4 linked regions of the Oryctolagus cuniculus genome follow. The protein of the gene in region 2 binds, or shares a complex with, the protein of the main gene of each other region. Links are inferred from orthologs where the notes say so. Each region holds a gene or a part of one and is shown on either strand. Other genes may lie near its edges.

The links. The genes of interacting proteins can lie anywhere in the genome.
Region 1: MEAF6 (region 2) and MORF4L1 share a complex: the UniProt entries of both Homo sapiens proteins name them as parts of the nuA4 histone acetyltransferase complex. The link is inferred for Oryctolagus cuniculus from reciprocal best matches to the Homo sapiens genes MEAF6 and MORF4L1.
Region 3: MEAF6 (region 2) and EPC1 share a complex: the UniProt entries of both Homo sapiens proteins name them as parts of the nuA4 histone acetyltransferase complex. The link is inferred for Oryctolagus cuniculus from reciprocal best matches to the Homo sapiens genes MEAF6 and EPC1.
Region 4: MEAF6 (region 2) and BRD1 share a complex: the UniProt entries of both Homo sapiens proteins name them as parts of the MOZ/MORF complex. The link is inferred for Oryctolagus cuniculus from reciprocal best matches to the Homo sapiens genes MEAF6 and BRD1.

The regions. Positions count from the first base shown.
Region 1 is NC_091443.1:105,842,929-105,846,911, forward strand, and holds the start of MORF4L1 (mortality factor 4-like protein 1), read right to left. Parts: upstream 2,801-3,983; 5' UTR 2,767-2,800; coding exon 2,727-2,766; intron 1-2,726. UniProt on the Homo sapiens protein: Component of the NuA4 histone acetyltransferase (HAT) complex which is involved in transcriptional activation of select genes principally by acetylation of nucleosomal histones H4 and H2A.
Region 2 is NC_091438.1:135,241,569-135,245,691, reverse strand, and holds the start of MEAF6 (chromatin modification-related protein MEAF6), read right to left. Parts: upstream 2,801-4,123; 5' UTR 2,721-2,800; coding exon 2,631-2,720; intron 2,069-2,630; exon of another isoform or gene 1,783-2,068; coding exon of another isoform or gene 1,729-1,782; intron 1,646-1,728; coding exon 1,530-1,645; intron 1-1,529.
Region 3 is NC_091444.1:102,740,375-102,744,409, forward strand, and holds the start of EPC1 (enhancer of polycomb homolog 1), read right to left. Parts: upstream 2,801-4,035; 5' UTR 2,471-2,800; coding exon 2,318-2,470; intron 1,146-2,317; exon of another isoform or gene 1-1,145. UniProt on the Homo sapiens protein: Component of the NuA4 histone acetyltransferase (HAT) complex, a multiprotein complex involved in transcriptional activation of select genes principally by acetylation of nucleosomal histones H4 and H2A.
Region 4 is NC_091442.1:122,871,329-122,875,471, reverse strand, and holds the start of BRD1 (bromodomain-containing protein 1), read left to right. Parts: upstream 1-1,343; 5' UTR 1,344-1,668; intron 1,669-2,023; exon of another isoform or gene 2,024-2,545; intron 2,546-3,749; 5' UTR 3,750-3,763; coding exon 3,764-4,143. UniProt on the Homo sapiens protein: Scaffold subunit of various histone acetyltransferase (HAT) complexes, such as the MOZ/MORF and HBO1 complexes, that acts as a regulator of hematopoiesis.

The DNA of each region.
Region 1 (3,983 bases), on a different chromosome or scaffold from region 2:
AAAGTGGAGACTGAGATACCAAGATCAGTGACTTTTCCAACAGCTTAGGGGTACAGATAAACTACACTGCTAACAAACAACAGCACCAAAGAGCTGATCTGTGAGCTCCCTGGTTCCACTTCCATGTACATTTTTAAGGTACCGCGAAAATGGCTTAATCTCTCCTCTCTTCTTTTCTTGATGGCTGCTGCCAAAAACTACCCTAAGGCTGATACCTTCTGACCTCCATTCTAGCTACCTGACCCTAGTATTCTGTTGAAATACCAGCTAGCTTAAGAGCATGACCCTGGATAACAAATCGTTGATTTTTCGCTGAAGTAGAAGAGCAGTAATTTGGAAACAGCAGGCCACCATATTTGGTAGGTTTTTCACACTATTCTCCACCATTAATCCTTTCTAGTCCCAAGGCGAATTCTGCTCAATGTTTTCAAATTCAAGATTAATGACAGTCCCGAGTTCCCATCCTCCCACTGGTTGTGCTCATTAAAAGCCACCATCAGCCAATTTCTTAATTCCTGACAGAACTGTCTCCCCTCAAAGGGGATAATGTCCAAGTGTCCGTTGCCCTGCGCTTTAACAGCTGCAAGTGGCCCAAGCCTGCGCGTTCATCATGCCTGAACACTGCTCGCTGCATTTTCATCTGCTTTGTGCTGACATTCTGTACCATGAGTAAACCTGGGTTCACACTACTCAGAAAAAAATCAAATTCTGGCAATTCCTACTTTTACCCATCACATTACATTCTCTTCTATAATGTTTCAATTCGGGTAGCACTGAACAAACATTTCTTCTTCCTTAACACGATATTCTCTGAATATTTTAGTTTTACAAAGAAAACTGTTAAATTCAGGTGTGAAGCAACAGAAAACTACCCAGCAAGCGCGGAGACCGCACCTGGGTACCTCGGTTCCATGTTCCTTCCTAGTATCACCCCACTCTACCATTCCTGTGGTTTAGAACCGAAACACGGGGGGAGGGGCAAGTGGCACAATGGGTAAAGCTGCGGCCTTCATGCTGTTCCACTTCCAAACCAGCTCCCTGCTATGGCACCTGGGAAAGCAGAAGATGGCCCAAGTGCCTGGGCCCCACACAACGTGGGAGACCCAGATGAAGCGCCTGGCCTGGGCTGGTGGGGCCATCTAGCGAGTGCACCAGCTCCATAACTCTTAAAAAAAAAAAAAAAAAAAGTGCTGCAGAGTTGTTCCTACATCGGAGCCTATAGTTTTTTCCATTTCTACAAACACGTAAAACAGGGTCTGTATCTTCCACACAAAGCTGGGATATAAAAAGTACACTGCTACAACGAGGCGTTCAGCTGTTGAGGGAGAGCGTTTCCATTAATATCCGCAATAGCTAGTTTCAGCCTTGATAGAAAAAAGTTTTGTGCCCCGCCAGGCTCACGGGCTTTCTGAACGACATCCATCGACCCCTGTTCTGAACACCTAGCAAAATCACGACTCCAGAGGACACAGCCACAGGCATCCCGGCGGGAGGCGGGAGGCGCTCATCACCCACAGTACCCCGGGACCCCGGGAGAGCCCTCTCACATCCCACTGAAGTCACGGCACACTGGGGCTCCGTCTTTAAAGTTCTCCTAGCTGCACGCATTCAACCTGAAAAGCCCCCACACAGGCCGCGCGCACGTCGGACAGGGCATCGGAGGTACTCAGCACCCATCTCCCTGGCACGAAAGGAAATGGGCAGTTCCTCCTCGCCCAGACCTCACCGGCCCGCGACCCGCGCAAACACAGACAGCCTCATACACACTCCACGGGCGCCGAAGGCCAGGGCCGCCATTCGCCCAAGTCGGCCGAAACGCTCGCCCATAAAAAAAAAAAAAAAAAAATCAATACAAATTCTCCGTCGAGTCACTTCATCAGGTTTTATGGCCGCGGGTCACCCACAGTCCGCGGCCGCACCAAAGCCCGTTTCTCTGCGCGGCACACGAGCCGCCGCACGGCGCACGCGCACCCCGGGCCCCGCCCCTGGGCGGAGCCAGCGATGCCCGCAGGCCACACAAAGCCGCCCCGAGCGCCCAGCTCGCTCCGGTCTTGTTTTTCTCCCCCTCCGCGCCCCCCACCCGCCGCTCCGAGGTGAGCGCGGGGCTCGGGCCTCCCCGCGCGGACGCCGAGCCAGGGGGCGCTGCGCCCGCCCCGCACCGGGGCCGCGGCCCACGCCGACGCCGGCGGCCATCTTGCGGCGGCCATTTTACAACGCAGTTCTCCCGCCCCGGGGCGCCGCGCCCATCCCCCACCCGCACCCCCACACCCCCCTCAGCCGCAGCTCCGCGTCCCGGCCCAACGCCGACCACCCCGGGGCTGCCGGCGGCCACGCTCCGCCGGCCGGTTCCCGCCACCGCGGCCGCGGGCCCGTCGCCCGCGCCGCCGCCGCCGCCTCCCCCACGCCACATCACTTCCCCTAACGGCCGCCATGGCGCGCCGCCGCCCCACAATGGGCTGCCTCGCCCGCGCCCTCCTCCTCCAAACAATAACAAACGCTCGGCCGAGGCTCTGCCCCGCGCCGGGCGCGCCTCCCGCCGCCCCGACGCCCGCCTCGGCGCCTCCGCCGCACAAAGCCCTTCCCCTCGGGCCGCCCGGGGCCACCGTGCGCAATGCGCTTCCCCGCACAAAGCTCAGCCCCCCGCCCCGGCCCGCGGGCCGCCACCACCCCGCGCCGCCTGCCTCCCCGGGCCGTTAGGCGCCTTCCCCTCAAAGGCGCACACTTACCCTCCTGGAATTTAGGCTTTGGGTCCTGCTTGGGCGCCATTTATAAGTGATTCGCCGCCTCCTCCTTCTCCCACCACCCCCGACTACCGCCCCCTACTCTCTACCCCACCCAACTCAGCGTCAGACGCGCCGTCAGGAACCGCCGGCTCTACATCCTGGGCCCGATTTGCCAGCGTCCGCACACCTCACCGCCCCGCGACCCGCGCAGGCGTCGCGCCAGCCAACTGCCGGCCGCCGCGCACGCGCCGCTGCGCCCGCGCCGCCGCGGGGCATGCCGGGACTTGTAGTTCCGGCGGGGCGGGCGCCGCCGCGGGGCGGGGGCGGGAACGAGGCGCCCCTCCCCCACCCGGCGTGGGCGCCCGCGCGCCGTCGGCGCGGGTGGCTCACGGCTGGGGCTGGTTTTGTGGGTTGTGAGAGCTGGGATTGCGGTTCGGGGGGCCAGCCGCGGGGGAAGAGTGGGAATCGCACTGCTTGCGGAGTTCCCCTCAGCAAAGCCAAGGCCGCAAAGATGAGGGGTACCCGGGGCTCGGGAAATGGTCGACGTCTGGAAGCTTCCTGGTGGGGCAGGGTCGTGGCCGGCTTGTTGGGTGGACGGGACCGAGGGCCATTGTTGGACTCCCGTTTCTACCTTCGCTGCTCGCCGGGCCGCGGCCTGCGGAACTAAGGAGGGAGACGCAGGGCGGGGGTGGGGGGCTGGTGGTCTTGGGCGGAGCGCTTAGCCAAGCGCTTAGCCGGGGGCTCAGGTCCCCGCAGCGGCCCCCAGCCCACCCGCCGTGCAAGGTTTGCAAATCCTCCGCGCGCCAATTCTGGACGCAGCGCCATTGCTGTGACTCCAGCCTCCATGTAACAGCCCCTGCTTTTACCTGCGACAACCCAGAAGGTGTCTTCCTCGTTCGCTCTGAACCAACACCAGCTCAGCTTTCCTCCACTGCCCCTGAGGGCACGGACGGAAGCAGCGAGGGCTCTCCATGGCCCCAGCCCCACCAAAACTAGACCCTATAGGACTTTTTAAAAAACATTGTTTACAATATAAAGTACTTATATATTGGGGTTTTTTTAAAGATTTATTTATTTGAAAGGCAGAGTTAGAGAGGTGGAGAGAGAGAGAGAGAGCTTCCACCCGCTGGTTCCCTCCCCAATTGGCCACAACAGCCAAGAGCTGGACTGATCCGAAGCCAGGAGCCAGGAGCTTCTTCCAGGTCTCCCACGTGGGTGCAGGGGCCCAAGCACTTGGGCCATCTTCTACTGCTTTCCCAG
Region 2 (4,123 bases):
AGGCTTGAGTCCCATCTGCTTCCAATTCCAATGTCCTGCTAATGTGCGCCCAGGGAGGCTGCAGGTGGTGACTCAAGGAGTCACCCAGGAGAGACTAGGACTGAGTTCTGCCTCCAGGCTTCAGCCTGCCTTTAACCTGATGGAAAATCTCTCTGCCTGCCACTCTGTCTTCCAAATAAACGTAAAAAAAAAAAATTCTACCTAAGGCCCGCGCTGTGGCGCAGCGGGTTAACACCCTGGCCTGAAGCGCTGGCAGCCCATATAGGCACCAGTTCTAGTCCTGGCTGTTCCTCTTCTGATCCAGCTCTCTTCTATGGCCTGGAATAGCAGTGGAAGATGGCCCAAGTCTTTGGGACCCTGCACCTACGTGGGGAACCCAGAAGAGGCTCCTGGCTCCTGGCTTCGGATCAGCGCAGTTCCAGTCCTTGCAGCCATCTGGGGAGTGAATGAACCAGCAGATGGAGGACCTCCCTCTCTCTCTCTGCGTAACTCTTTCAAATAAATAAGTAAATTTTTTAAAAAATTCTACTTAAATTTTTAAAAATTTCCAAAATTTGAAAAGAATCATTTTTTTAACATTTTACTTATATGGGGGTTAGCACTGTAGCGTAGCAGGTTAAGTGGGTGCTGGCATCCCATATGGGCACCGGTTTCTGTCCCAGTTCCTCCACTTCCAATCCAGCTCCCTGCTGATGTGCCTGGAAGGGCAGCCGAAGACGGCCCAAATGCTTGGGGCCCTTGCAACACGCAGGGGACCTGGATGGAATTCCTGGCTCCTGGCTTCAGATCAGTCCAGCCCCAGCTGTTGCACCATTTGGGGAGTGAACCAGCATATGAAAGATCTCTGTCACTCTGCCTTTCAAATAAATGAAATATTTTTTTAAAAGATTTATTTATTTGAAAGGCAGAGTAACAGAAAGGGAGAGACAAAGAAAGAGAGGTCTTCCATCCGTGGTTCACTCCCCAAATGCCCACAACAGCCAGGGCTGGGCCAGGCCAAAATCAAAAGCCTGGAACTCTACCTGGTCTCCCACACGGTTGGCAGGGACCCAACCTTGTGGGCCATCTTCCACCGCCTTCCTAGCACATCAGCAGGGAGCTGGATTGAAAACAGAACAGCTGGGATTAGAACTGGCTCTCTTAAACAGGATGCTGACGTCACAGGTTGCAGTTTAACCCCCTGTGCCACACAGCCAGTCCCAAAGAATAACACTGTAGTACAGTAGCCACACAGGTATGGCAAAACTTCCAAGGGTTGAACTCAAGACTGATCAAAATGTGGAAAACACTACCAGAGCTGTGCAGACTGTCACACGCCGTACTCCATCCAAGCCTTACACAGCTCTTGGGCAGGGCCAGACTCCCCCTGTTCTACTCGGGGAGGCAGGGGCGGACCCTCAGTGCCAGCTCAAGCCCAGACCTCCCTGCACACCACCACCTGACGGCTGCTGCCTCCCCGGCCCCATGGCTGTCAACAACACACAATCCCACAAATGGGTATTTCGAGAGCACAACCTTTGGAAACTCACTTTTGGTTGGTTAGATAGCGGTCCCAGCCACGAATGATATTGCCATACATCTGAGTGTCTTCCAGGTAGCTTCCTTCAAAAGCATAGATCTGTCTCTCCAAGTTGGCCAGAGTTTCCTGGGAGACGACAAGCCAGGCCGGGGATTAGCTGTGCCCACACTGAAAGCCTGACCCTGGGCTTATCATAAACCCAAACTCACCCACATTAAACTACCTTCGTGGAGGGCTGGAGGACTCCAGGAACGGTAGGCCATTCAAGTCCAAGAGTCTGGATCTTTCGGGGTGATGGCCCGACCCCTTTGGGAACAGAACGGACTCCACAGAGCCTGTCCCCAGGTAAACGCCCACACGTGCGGAATTCTGCACAGGGCTCTCGGAAACCCAAGTGTCAAGAACCGGGCCGAGGCAGAACAGGGGCAGGCTCCACGCCCACGCACAAAGGGGACCGCCACCAGGCGCGGAATGAGCGAGGCACTGGGCACTGCCCTCCCAAGGGCTCGGCGAGGCCGCCGGCCCCGGGCTGCCCGTTGTCATGGAAACCTGGAAGGGCGGCAGCAGGTGCGCCCAAACGCGGGGTGCACGTCACGGCTCCCAGTTTCCCAACCCGGTCCTCGTCCCCCGCCTGTCACCTTCTGGAAAGATCACACCCCTGCCCATCCCAGACACCCTCCCACGGATGGGCTCCTAGGACCAAAAGGGACCTACCCCCCCACCATCCTCTCAGAGACCAGACCGGCTCCCACACTCGGCTCATCCCCAAAGCCCACCCGCAGGCCGGGACCCGCCTCCGCCCGCGCCCACCCGCACGACCCACGACACCCGCCCTCTCAGGCGCCCGCACGCACACGCCCCGGCCCGCGGCGCCCTTCCTCCTCCGCGCCGCCGAGGCCCGCTCCCCGCCCCCTCCGGGCTCCGGCCGCCGCTCCGCCTCCGCACCGCCGGAAACGGCGCTCGGCGGCACGCGCCCCGGCCCAGGCCGCCGGACTCCCGGGCCGCGCGCGGCGTCCCCGGAGTAACCGACGGCCTGGTGCGGCCGGGCTGGCGGTCGGCGGCCGGGCGAGCGCGGGGCCCCACGCCGGAGCCCCGGGTCCCAGCCGCTCACCGCCAGCTCCTGCTTCCGCTTCACGAGCTCGGCAAGCTCCCGCCGGGTGTCCGGGATCTGCGGCGGCGCCGCCTTGTTGTGCATCGCCATGTTGGGCTGAGGCGGGCAGCAGCGGCGGGCGGCTGGGGGCGGGCCCTGCGATCCGCTGCCGACCGCCAGGGGGCGCCCGCTGCACTGCGCCTGCGCGAGCGGCTTCCGGAGACGCGCGCCGCCGGGCGCCGCGCTTGGGCGGGGCGCTGGGAAACCCTGCCCCGGGGATGGATCCGGCAGGTGGGGCTGCCGCACCTGCTGGGATCTGCCTTTCCGCACTAGGATTGGCCGGCGAGCTTTAGGGGCACCGCGGGCTCACAGTGTCCAAAGCCAGGCTCGTGCTTAGAGTTCCTAGTCATTCCCCTGGGGAATGACTTCACTGCCACCGAGGGGCCCGAGTCAGAGCCTGAGGGTTATCCTCACTCCACCCACCCTGGGTGAAGCTCCTGGCTCCTGCTTGGCTTGGCCCAGCCATGGCCATTGCAGCCGTTTGCGGAGTGAAGCAGCGTTTGGAAGACCTCTCTCTCTGTAACTCTGCCTTTCAAATAATTTTTTTTAAAGAATCCTTTATTTGGGGGTGGGCATTTGGCTCAGGAGTTAAGCGCCAGCTTGAGATGCTGGCGTCCCATATCGAAGGGCCCCAGTTTCAGTCCTGGGTATGTTGATTCCAGCTTCCTGCTAACCTGCACCCTGGGAGGCAGAAGGGGATGTCATGGGATCCTGCCACCCAGTTGGGAAACCTGGGTTAGGTTCTAGGCTCCTGGTTTGGGCTTGGCCCAGCCCCAGCTGTTGTGGGCATTTGGGGAGTGAAGCAGCCAATGGAAGCTCTCTGCCTCTCTCTCTGCCTTTCAAGTAAAGAAAGAAACGTCTTTAATCCTTTAAGTTTTACTATCTATATTCTCCATCTTGTCTATCTGCTAATTTCTGGAAATTTCTTTTCGTGTATAGATTTAGTAACCTGGGATCTTGCCAAGCTCCCTTATTAATTTTAGGAAGGGTTTTCTAGTCCAGATTCCTTGGAATTTTTTCTGTGACAATCATTTTATTTGCAAATAGGGAATTGTTTTATATTGTTACTCCTTCCCAATATGTATACTGTTTTTAAAATATTACTTTTTAAAGGCTTATTTTATTTATTTGAAAGGCAGAGTTAGAGAGGGAGAGAGACAGAGACAGAGACTATGAGATTGAGCGATCTTCCATCCACTAGTTCAATCCCCAAATGACCACAACATGACCATCCAGCCAGGCTGGATGAGGCTAAACCCATAGAAGTCTCCCAGATCGGTAGCAGGGGCCCAAGGACTTGGGCCATCCCCAGCTGCTTTCCTGGGCACACTTGCAGGAAGCTGGACTGGAAACGGAGTAGCTGAACTCCAGCCTGCACTCTGATACGACATGTGGGCATCCCTGGGAGTACCTTAAGCTGCTGTGGCACAACACCAGCCCTGAGTGCTCTTTAC
Region 3 (4,035 bases), on a different chromosome or scaffold from region 2:
CTGCAGGGAGAGGGGGCCTCTACTTAAGTTGTTTCTTAAAAAAAAAAAAAAAAAAAAAAGTTTAATTAGGCCAGTTTAGCTTATATTATTAAGATTGGTTAAATGCAGTACAATAGTTATTTCCCCCATGTTAAAATACCCATATTTCTGCTCACTTTTATAATGACTACTTATATTCCCGTGTAAATGTATCTTGCTCATCAAATGCTTTCTCAAGGAGCCAGGTATCCAAGAGCCTCACCTCATTCTGCCCCCTTCTTTCACCACCACCATCACCACTAAGCATGTATCTTTTTCTAAACTTGAGTCAATTTAGGTTCTAGGTTACTGGGACCTAAGAATGGGCCTAACTAATTTGTCAAAGGCAGAGGTTTGTTTCAATCCTTCCTCTAAGTACAAAATATTCTCAGCAAATTTGTATCAAAAGGCTTTTGTTTTTCTAAAGTTAAGGCAACTCAATTACCTTTATTAACATTTAGTATACATTTTTAATACTGTGTAACACACTGCTTTCAAGATGGTGATATGTATGGCCTCTCGCAGCACCACAGAAGTGAACAGCCGCTTATCTACCCAGGTACTTTCTTGACACTCTATGATTAAGTTCAGTACCTATTCTTGAGGTGTTACGCTTCATTCATCACAGTTTTTGTTGGATGTGAAGTGTTGTAGCTCTTGGGACTATCCAAGTATTCATAGAAGCAAGATAGAACTAAATGTCTAAAGTGTACTGTCGTGCTGTCGGGCTTTTTAAGCATTTCTTCCTTGGCTGTATAACAAGAACTGTAAATCAATTCCCAGGGCCGAGTCACATCAACTCCCCACCTTCAAAGTATTACCTGTCAAACTGACCGAGAGAAACAAAATAAAACCAAAAGACAAGATGCTGCAATCACAAGTACTTTAATTTTTTTTTTTTAAATCACTTATTTAACAGATGGCAGGACTCTACTCTGAAGTTGAACCAAGGAAAACAAACGGAGTGGCACAGTCTCGGAGGTCAGTCCTGCACTAGGAAATCCCACTGGCTCCGTGCGCTTGGCAGGCAGCGTCTTCCGCAGGCAAAGACACCACTCTCAAAGGTGACACTCCACTGCCACAACTATTTCACTTGAGACGCTTAAACGACCCGAACAGTGTAAAGAGTTTTATTTGCAAAGACAGCATTACAGAGCACAGCTTCCACACTGCAAAGGTTGCCGGTCCCCACGAAGTATTACAGCACCCAAGAAGTCCGCGCTCCCTGGACTCCTTGAACTGTCAAGGCACTGCCCCTGCTCACTCGGCTGCACCTGCAAGGAGTGGTCGTTAAGTTACTGTCAAGCAGCCGGGGCAAACCAGAGGAAGAGGCCATCATGTTCGCGTCTGGACCCAACTCCGCCACCGAGCGAAGCCACGACTGGGATACAAGGTCCAGCCCTGAAAGCAGTCATTTAAATACAGAAACCCACTCAATTTAAGACACCCCAGCGTTAACACTCGTGTGGGTGGGTTTCCTTAAACTGAGCGGCTAAGGGGAACAAAGTCCTTGCCTCTCTGTCCAAATGTAGCGCTACCACGCTGCCCTTGCTCACACGTGGAGCGATTAAAAGGCAGGCGCAACTTCTGTTCCAAGTAAATCATCCAGAGAAAGGCTTCGGCACGGCCGCGCGGCCCCGCACACCCGCGCCCTACGCCCGTGTGCGCTCCGCTCCCGCTAACTAGCGCTGCACGAAGCCGCGTCTCCCACCAGGAGTGAAGGGGCCCGGGCCGGCACGCAGCGCCCCTCGGGCGGGCCCCGCCGGGGCTCCACGTGGGCGCCGTGCAGAGCGCCCAGCAGCGTCCCAGGCCACCGGCAAGCGAGCGTCCCCGGCTGCGCCCGCGCTGCCCGGCGCCGGCCCCGGAGCGCCACCCAGCGGCGCGCGGAGAGGCCTGCAGGCGGGGCCTCCGCGGCTCGCGGCTCCGCGGCTCGCCGCACCCCCACCGCCACCCAGCCCGCTCCCCTCGCCGGATGCACAAGGCCCAACCCAAGCACTAAGACCACAAAATGGCTGCCGGCAGCTTCGTCACGTGACCCCTTTGTGCCTTTCGGGCCCCCGAACTCCGCGGGACCCGGGTACCAGGGCCCGGGGTCGGCGGGTGGCCCGAGAGGAGGCCCCGCCGGGCCGCGGCGGCCGGGGGTCGCGGCCGGGGGCGGCGGGGGAGCGGCCCGGCCGGCGACCGAGAGTCGGCGGCGAGGAGAAGATGGCGGCCATTTTGTGTGGGTCGGCTGCTCCGCCGCCGCAGGCAGCAGTGGAGCGGGCCTGGCGGCGGGTCGGACAGGGGAGTTAACACGTACCGACTCCTCTTCCTTCTCCATTCCGGTGGGCATCTGCGGCACGGCCCGGTTTATCGAGGCGTATTCGTGCAGGTCGGGCAGATCCTCACAGCGGAACACCGGCAGCGGCTTCGAGGCGTCTAGCGCCCGCGCCCGAAACGACAGTTTACTCATCTCAGGCGCAGCAGATACCTCTCCGCTCTGGGGAAACGGCCCCGGCCAGCGGGATCATGGAGAACCGGGGGTTCGGTCCCCACTCGCCTACCGCTGCCGGGGACTGGAGGGGCGGAGCGCAGAGCCCGCCGTCCGGGCACTAACACCAGCCGGGAGGGTGGGAGGCTGTGCCGCTCCGCTCCTCTCTCGCTCGCTCTCTTCAATACGCCATGGCCAACATGGCGGACATTAAAACTCCACTGTGCGCTCTTCAGCCAACCCCAGCCATTCCCCACACTGCATCGCGCAGCGGCGCGGGCACGCGGGGGGGGGGGGGGAGCGCGGGCTCGAGGCCGGGCGCCGGCACGGAGCGCGCGTCCCGCCAACCCCCGGCGCCCGGCGCCCGGCGCTCGCGGCTCGCGGCTCGCGGCTCGGGGCCCCCGCCCGGCGCGGGCTCGGGGGCGGCCGGGGCGCTCGGACGCCGGGCGCCGGCCGGAGGCTCCCGCTGCACTTCGGGGCGCAAACGCTCACTTTCTCACGCTCGCTCCCGCCGCGCTGCCCCGCGCACTCCTCCACTCCTCCCCTCCTCCCCAGCCGGCGCCGGTACAGGGAAACTGCGCCCGCACGCCCGGGCCTGGGGAGGGCGACGCGGAGGGGACGACGGGCCGAGGCTGCGGCCCCGGGGTCACCGGGCTCGGGCACCCGCGTCACCGGGCCGGCGCACGGACGCCGCGCACCCCTGCCCGTGCGGGTCTTTAACATAGAAACGCACACGGAGTGCTGCTTGCGGTAAACTTTTACCGGCAATTATTTTTATGTCGACCGGAACTTCGGATTATAGTATTTGATAGGCTCCGCGATCAAATCGCTGGTCAGTTTCCCACCCGTGGGCAGGCATCCTATTCCACTACAAAAGTAGCTCTTAAAAATGCATGCTACATTTTATCTTATGTGTTTTACTGTGATTGAAGCAAAGGGGATTATACTGGACACCACCTTCATGAAAAAGCATTTAAATCAAGATCTACTTCAAAACCTTAACGCCAGTTATTTATATTCAGTTCACGATTTTCTGTTTGCACCGCAAGAAAAAAAAGCTGTTTTCAACATCGCCATGAGTTCTCGCTCGAATTTGTCCTCTGAAAACTTTATAAAATGGAATCATACAAAGACCTGGAGCGATCCCACCGAACCCAACGAGAAAAGCTGAACGATTGGAAGAGGTTTGGATGGAGCTGACAGACTGCCAACACCTGGTTTATATTACACACTAAAGTGGGTATCCGCTGATCCCTTTCCAGGGAGGTATTTTAAAAATCAGAAAGATTGTTGCAGTGGGTTTTGTAAGTGTGACAGCAAGATTTCACTCGTATGCCAAGATGCAAACATGTTTTCTAAGTCTGCCTTTCTCGCCGGGGGCTACATAATAAAAAATAATCGCTATTCCCAAATACTGGGTTTGGGATGAACTGTTATTAGCTTACGGGGCATAGGGGAACTGCTATCTTCCAGGCTGGTTTAGCTGCCCTCCACTAGGTGGGCAGAAGACAAGGGGAGCGGAAACCACAATTCTCTGCAGTCACCCT
Region 4 (4,143 bases), on a different chromosome or scaffold from region 2:
CCTTCAGGACCCCGACTTCCGGTTCCCGGATCTCCCTCAGAACCTCCACCCTGGTCCCTGAACCACTTCAGGACCGCGAACACTGACTGGATTTGACCCCAACCCCGGGTCCCGAGATCCCCCTCGGGACCCCGACCCCCGGTCCCAGAACCCCTCAGGACGCTGACCCCTCGTCCGTGGCTTCCCTCAGCACCCTGACCCCCGTGAACCCCTTAGGACTCCGACCCCTGGTCACAGGATCTCCACCCTCAATCCGAACACTGACTGGATTTCCTCAGGACCCCGACCCCTGGTCCGAGAACCCCTCAGGACCCCGACCCTCAGTCCAGATCCCCCTCAGAACCCCGACCCCTGGTCCCAGGGTCTCCACCCCCACTCCACTTCAGGACTGCGAACACTGACTGGATTTGACCCCAACCCCGGTCCTGGGATCCCCCTCAGGACCCCGACCCCCGGTCTGAGAAACCCTCAGGACGCTGACCCCTCGTCTGCGGCTTCCCTCAGGACCCCGAACCCTGGTCCGAGAACCCCTCAAGACCCTGACACTGGGTCCCGGAATCCCCCTCAGGACCCTTCTCGGCTTCTGAGCCCCCTCAGGACCCGACCCCTGGTCCCAGGGCCTCCACCCTCAGTCCCCAAACACTGACTGGATTTCCTCAGACCCTGACCCGGTCCATGAACCCCTCAGCACGCCGACCCCTGGTCCCAGGATCTCCACCCCTGGCCCCGAACACTGACTGGATTTCCTCAGGACCCCGACCCCGGTCCCGGGATCCCCCTCAGAACGCTTCCTCCCAGTCCCCGATCCCCCTCAGGACCCCGCCCCCGGGTCCCCGATCCCCCTCAGGACCCTTCCTCCCGGTCCCCGATCCCCCTCAGGACCCTTCCTCCCGGTCCCCGATCCCCCTCAGGACCCCGACCCCCGGGTCCCCGATCCCCCTCAGGACCCTTCCTCCCGGTCCCCGATCCCCCTCAGGACCCTTCCTCCCGGTCCCCGAGCCCCCTCAGGACCCTTCCTCCCGGTCCCCGATCCCCCTCAGGGCCCTTCCTCCCGGTCCCCGAGCCCCCTCAGGACCCTTCCTCCCGGTCCCCGATCCCCCTCAGGACCCTTCCTCCCGGTCCCCGAGCCCCCTCAGGACCCCGACCCCCGCCCGCCGCCGCCGTGACGCGGCCCCCACCGCCCCGCAGCCGCAGCCGCAGCCGCGGCCCCGCCCCCGCCCCGCCCCGCCCCGCCCCGGCCCCGCCCCCGGCGCCGCGCGGGCCGCGTCACGGCGGCGGCGGGCGGGGCGCGCCTCGCACGCAGGCGCCGGGCGGAGCGCTCGCCGCATTGTTTGCTTCGCTGGGGAGCGAGCGGCCGGCCCGGGCGTCCGAGCAGCCCCGCGCCCGACCCGCGCTCGTCCCCGCCCCGTCCCCGCGCCCGCCGGCCGGGCCCCGCGCCGGGCCTCCAGCCGGGCCCAGCCGGCGCCGCGCGAGCCGCGCCCGCGCCCGCGGCCGCCCCGCCGGGCCCGCAGCCGCCGCGGCCATTCGCCCGCGCCCTGAGCGGCGGCGGGGCCCGGCCTGCGCGGCCGTTGGCGGAGGAGCCGCGGGCGCCATTAGCGCCGCCTCGGCCGCGCCGGTCCCGTGCCCGCCGCCCGCCCGCCGGGCTCCCGCGGCCGCGGCGCCCCGGAGGTGAGTGGGCGGGGGCGGCCGGGAGGGCTCCCCGGGGCCTCGCGGGCCCGCCGCCGCCTCGGCCCGGCCTCTCGGGGTGGGGGTGCGGGCGCCATGTTTGCGACGGCGGCGGCTCCGCATTGTCCGCGGGCGGGCGGCCGGGCGGCCGGGGCGGCGGCGGCGGGGCGCGGGAGGCCGGGGCTGTCGGGCCGGCCGGGCCGGGCGCGCCGGGCGGGGGCCGCCGGGCCGGGGAGGCCGCGGAGGCCGGGAGTCGGGGCCCGGGGCGGGCGGGCGGGCGGCCGCTGCGCACGGGCGAGGGTCCCGCCCGGAGTCCGCGCCGGGCCGGGGCTGCCGGCGGGGCGCGTTATGTAACCGAGCGGCCCGGCTCGCCTGCGGGCACGGGAGCTCCCGGGCGGCCTCGCCCCGCGCGGCGTCGGCCCGCACCCTGCCGGGCGTCGCGGGGCCCGGCGCGCGCGGCGTGGGCGGGAGAAGAAACTTTCCGTGGGGTCCGGCCGCGGGGCGCGCGCGGCGCGGGGCTCCGCGGGGTCCGGTGCGGACACGGGGTACCGGCTCGCGCCGGGCCGGGTGTGCGGGTCCCGGCGCCGCCGCGGCCGCCCGTTGCTCGGCTGTGTTTCCCGCACTGGTTCCCGCAGCCGCGGGTGTGCGCAGAGCCCGGGGCCACGTGCGGGGAAGCGCTCCTCGCAGACGCGGCCGGACGCGGGCCGCGTGGGTGTGGGAGGCCGGGTCGCAGCCGGAGCGCTGGGCGCCGCTGCGAGACAATTGCCGGTTTGGTTGGAACCAACTGTTGCTCGGGCCGCACCTCGGTAATGACAGGAGGAGCGGGCCCTGCCCGTCGGGGCCGGGGTCCGAGGGGCGGCGCCGGGAGGCCCCGCGGCGGGTGAGTTGGGGCGTGGCCGACCCCTGGCTGGAGGAAGACCCCGCGGGCGAGGGGTCTGCGTTTGGGGTTTGCTGGGATGCCCTTCCGGAGTGATGGCGGAGCCTGCTGTTGGCCGGCCCTCCCAGAGGTGCAGCTCGCTCACTGCCAGGCTGTGAGTGCGGGCCGTGGGGGAAGTGTGCGCTGGGAGCTCGCTGGTCCCCCTCCCCGAGGAGAGCGGGTTCTCTTGAGGCCTGGTGGGCAGGTTTGAGGCACCTGGACCCGTGCAGGGGACCCTCTGGGCGGTGCAGGTGCTCCGTGGGGCGGCAGCAGAGCGTCTCCTCCCCTGGTGTTGCCTAGCACGTGGAGGCCAGCGCAGCGGTCAGGCTGGGCTGAGAAATGCCCCTGAGGCTGGGGCGGGTTAACTGGCCCCACTGGTTTCCACAGTGTCACTGCTGAGGTTTGCACAGTTGATTGGGGCCCTCCGGGCATGGGGACACCCCCCAGAGCAGTGCACAGCTCCCCTCGAGTCCTGGAGTGGCTGCTGTGTCTGGCCTCAGCGCACGTGGGGACAGATTACGGAGAGGGTGGACAGGCCCTGGTTTGTCTCCTGCCTCGTTATGTTGTTGGACCCTGGAAGCTCCCAGCCCCCAGCAGGGGTGCCACACGGGGAGCAGGTGCACTTGGGCTGGTGGAGGCGCTTGGGGGCAGCAGTGGGCAGCACAGAGGGCAGTGCAGGCAGAGTGTTGGGACCCAGTGCCCACCTGGACTATGGGTTAGCCCTGTGCATGGTCTAATGGGGGACCAGCTGCACACCAGCCAGTCAGCCCGACACTACACCTGTGGGCAGAGGTGAGGGTCGGGGTCACACCTGCTGGCTTTAGCCAGCAAATGCTGGGAATCCCAGAGCTCCGGAGGGGGCTTGGGCCAGTTGGCAGGAGCCCTCGGGGGCTGCCCCTCCACGCTGCCTCCCTTCCTGGTTCCACGGCTGGCTCCTCTGTCCTGGCAGTTACCCTGTGGCCTGGGGAGGAGGCACCGTTGCAGGGTTATTGAACGTGGCCGTGAGTTTCGGGATGAGCGGTTTGAAGTCTCAGCAATCCGAGAGCTGTGCGTTTGCTTTTGACTGAGGGTTGAGTTGATGGCTAGCTCTGCCCGAGGTGCTTTCGTGGTTTTCTCTCGTGGCTTTGGTGCTCTGCCTGGGACTAACCTCGGTGTGGTTTTGTTCTAGGTAATCATTACCAAATGAGGAGGAAAGGGCGATGCCATCGAGGCTCTGCAGCGAGGCACCCCTCCTCCCCGTGCAGTGTTAAACACTCCCCCACGCGAGAGACGCTCACGTACGCTCAGGCTCAGAGGATGGTCGAGATAGAGATTGAAGGGCGTTTGCACAGGATCAGTATCTTTGATCCCCTGGAGATCATCTTAGAAGATGACCTCACCGCGCAGGAGATGAGTGAGTGCAACAGCAACAAGGAGAACCGGGAGAGGCCGCCTGTTTGCTTAAGAACTAAGCGTCACAAAAACAACAGAGTCAAGAAGAAGAATGAAGCCCTCCCCGGCAGCACCCACGGCACGCCGACCTCCGCCAGCGCGCTGCCCGAGCCCAGGGTGCGCATCGTGGA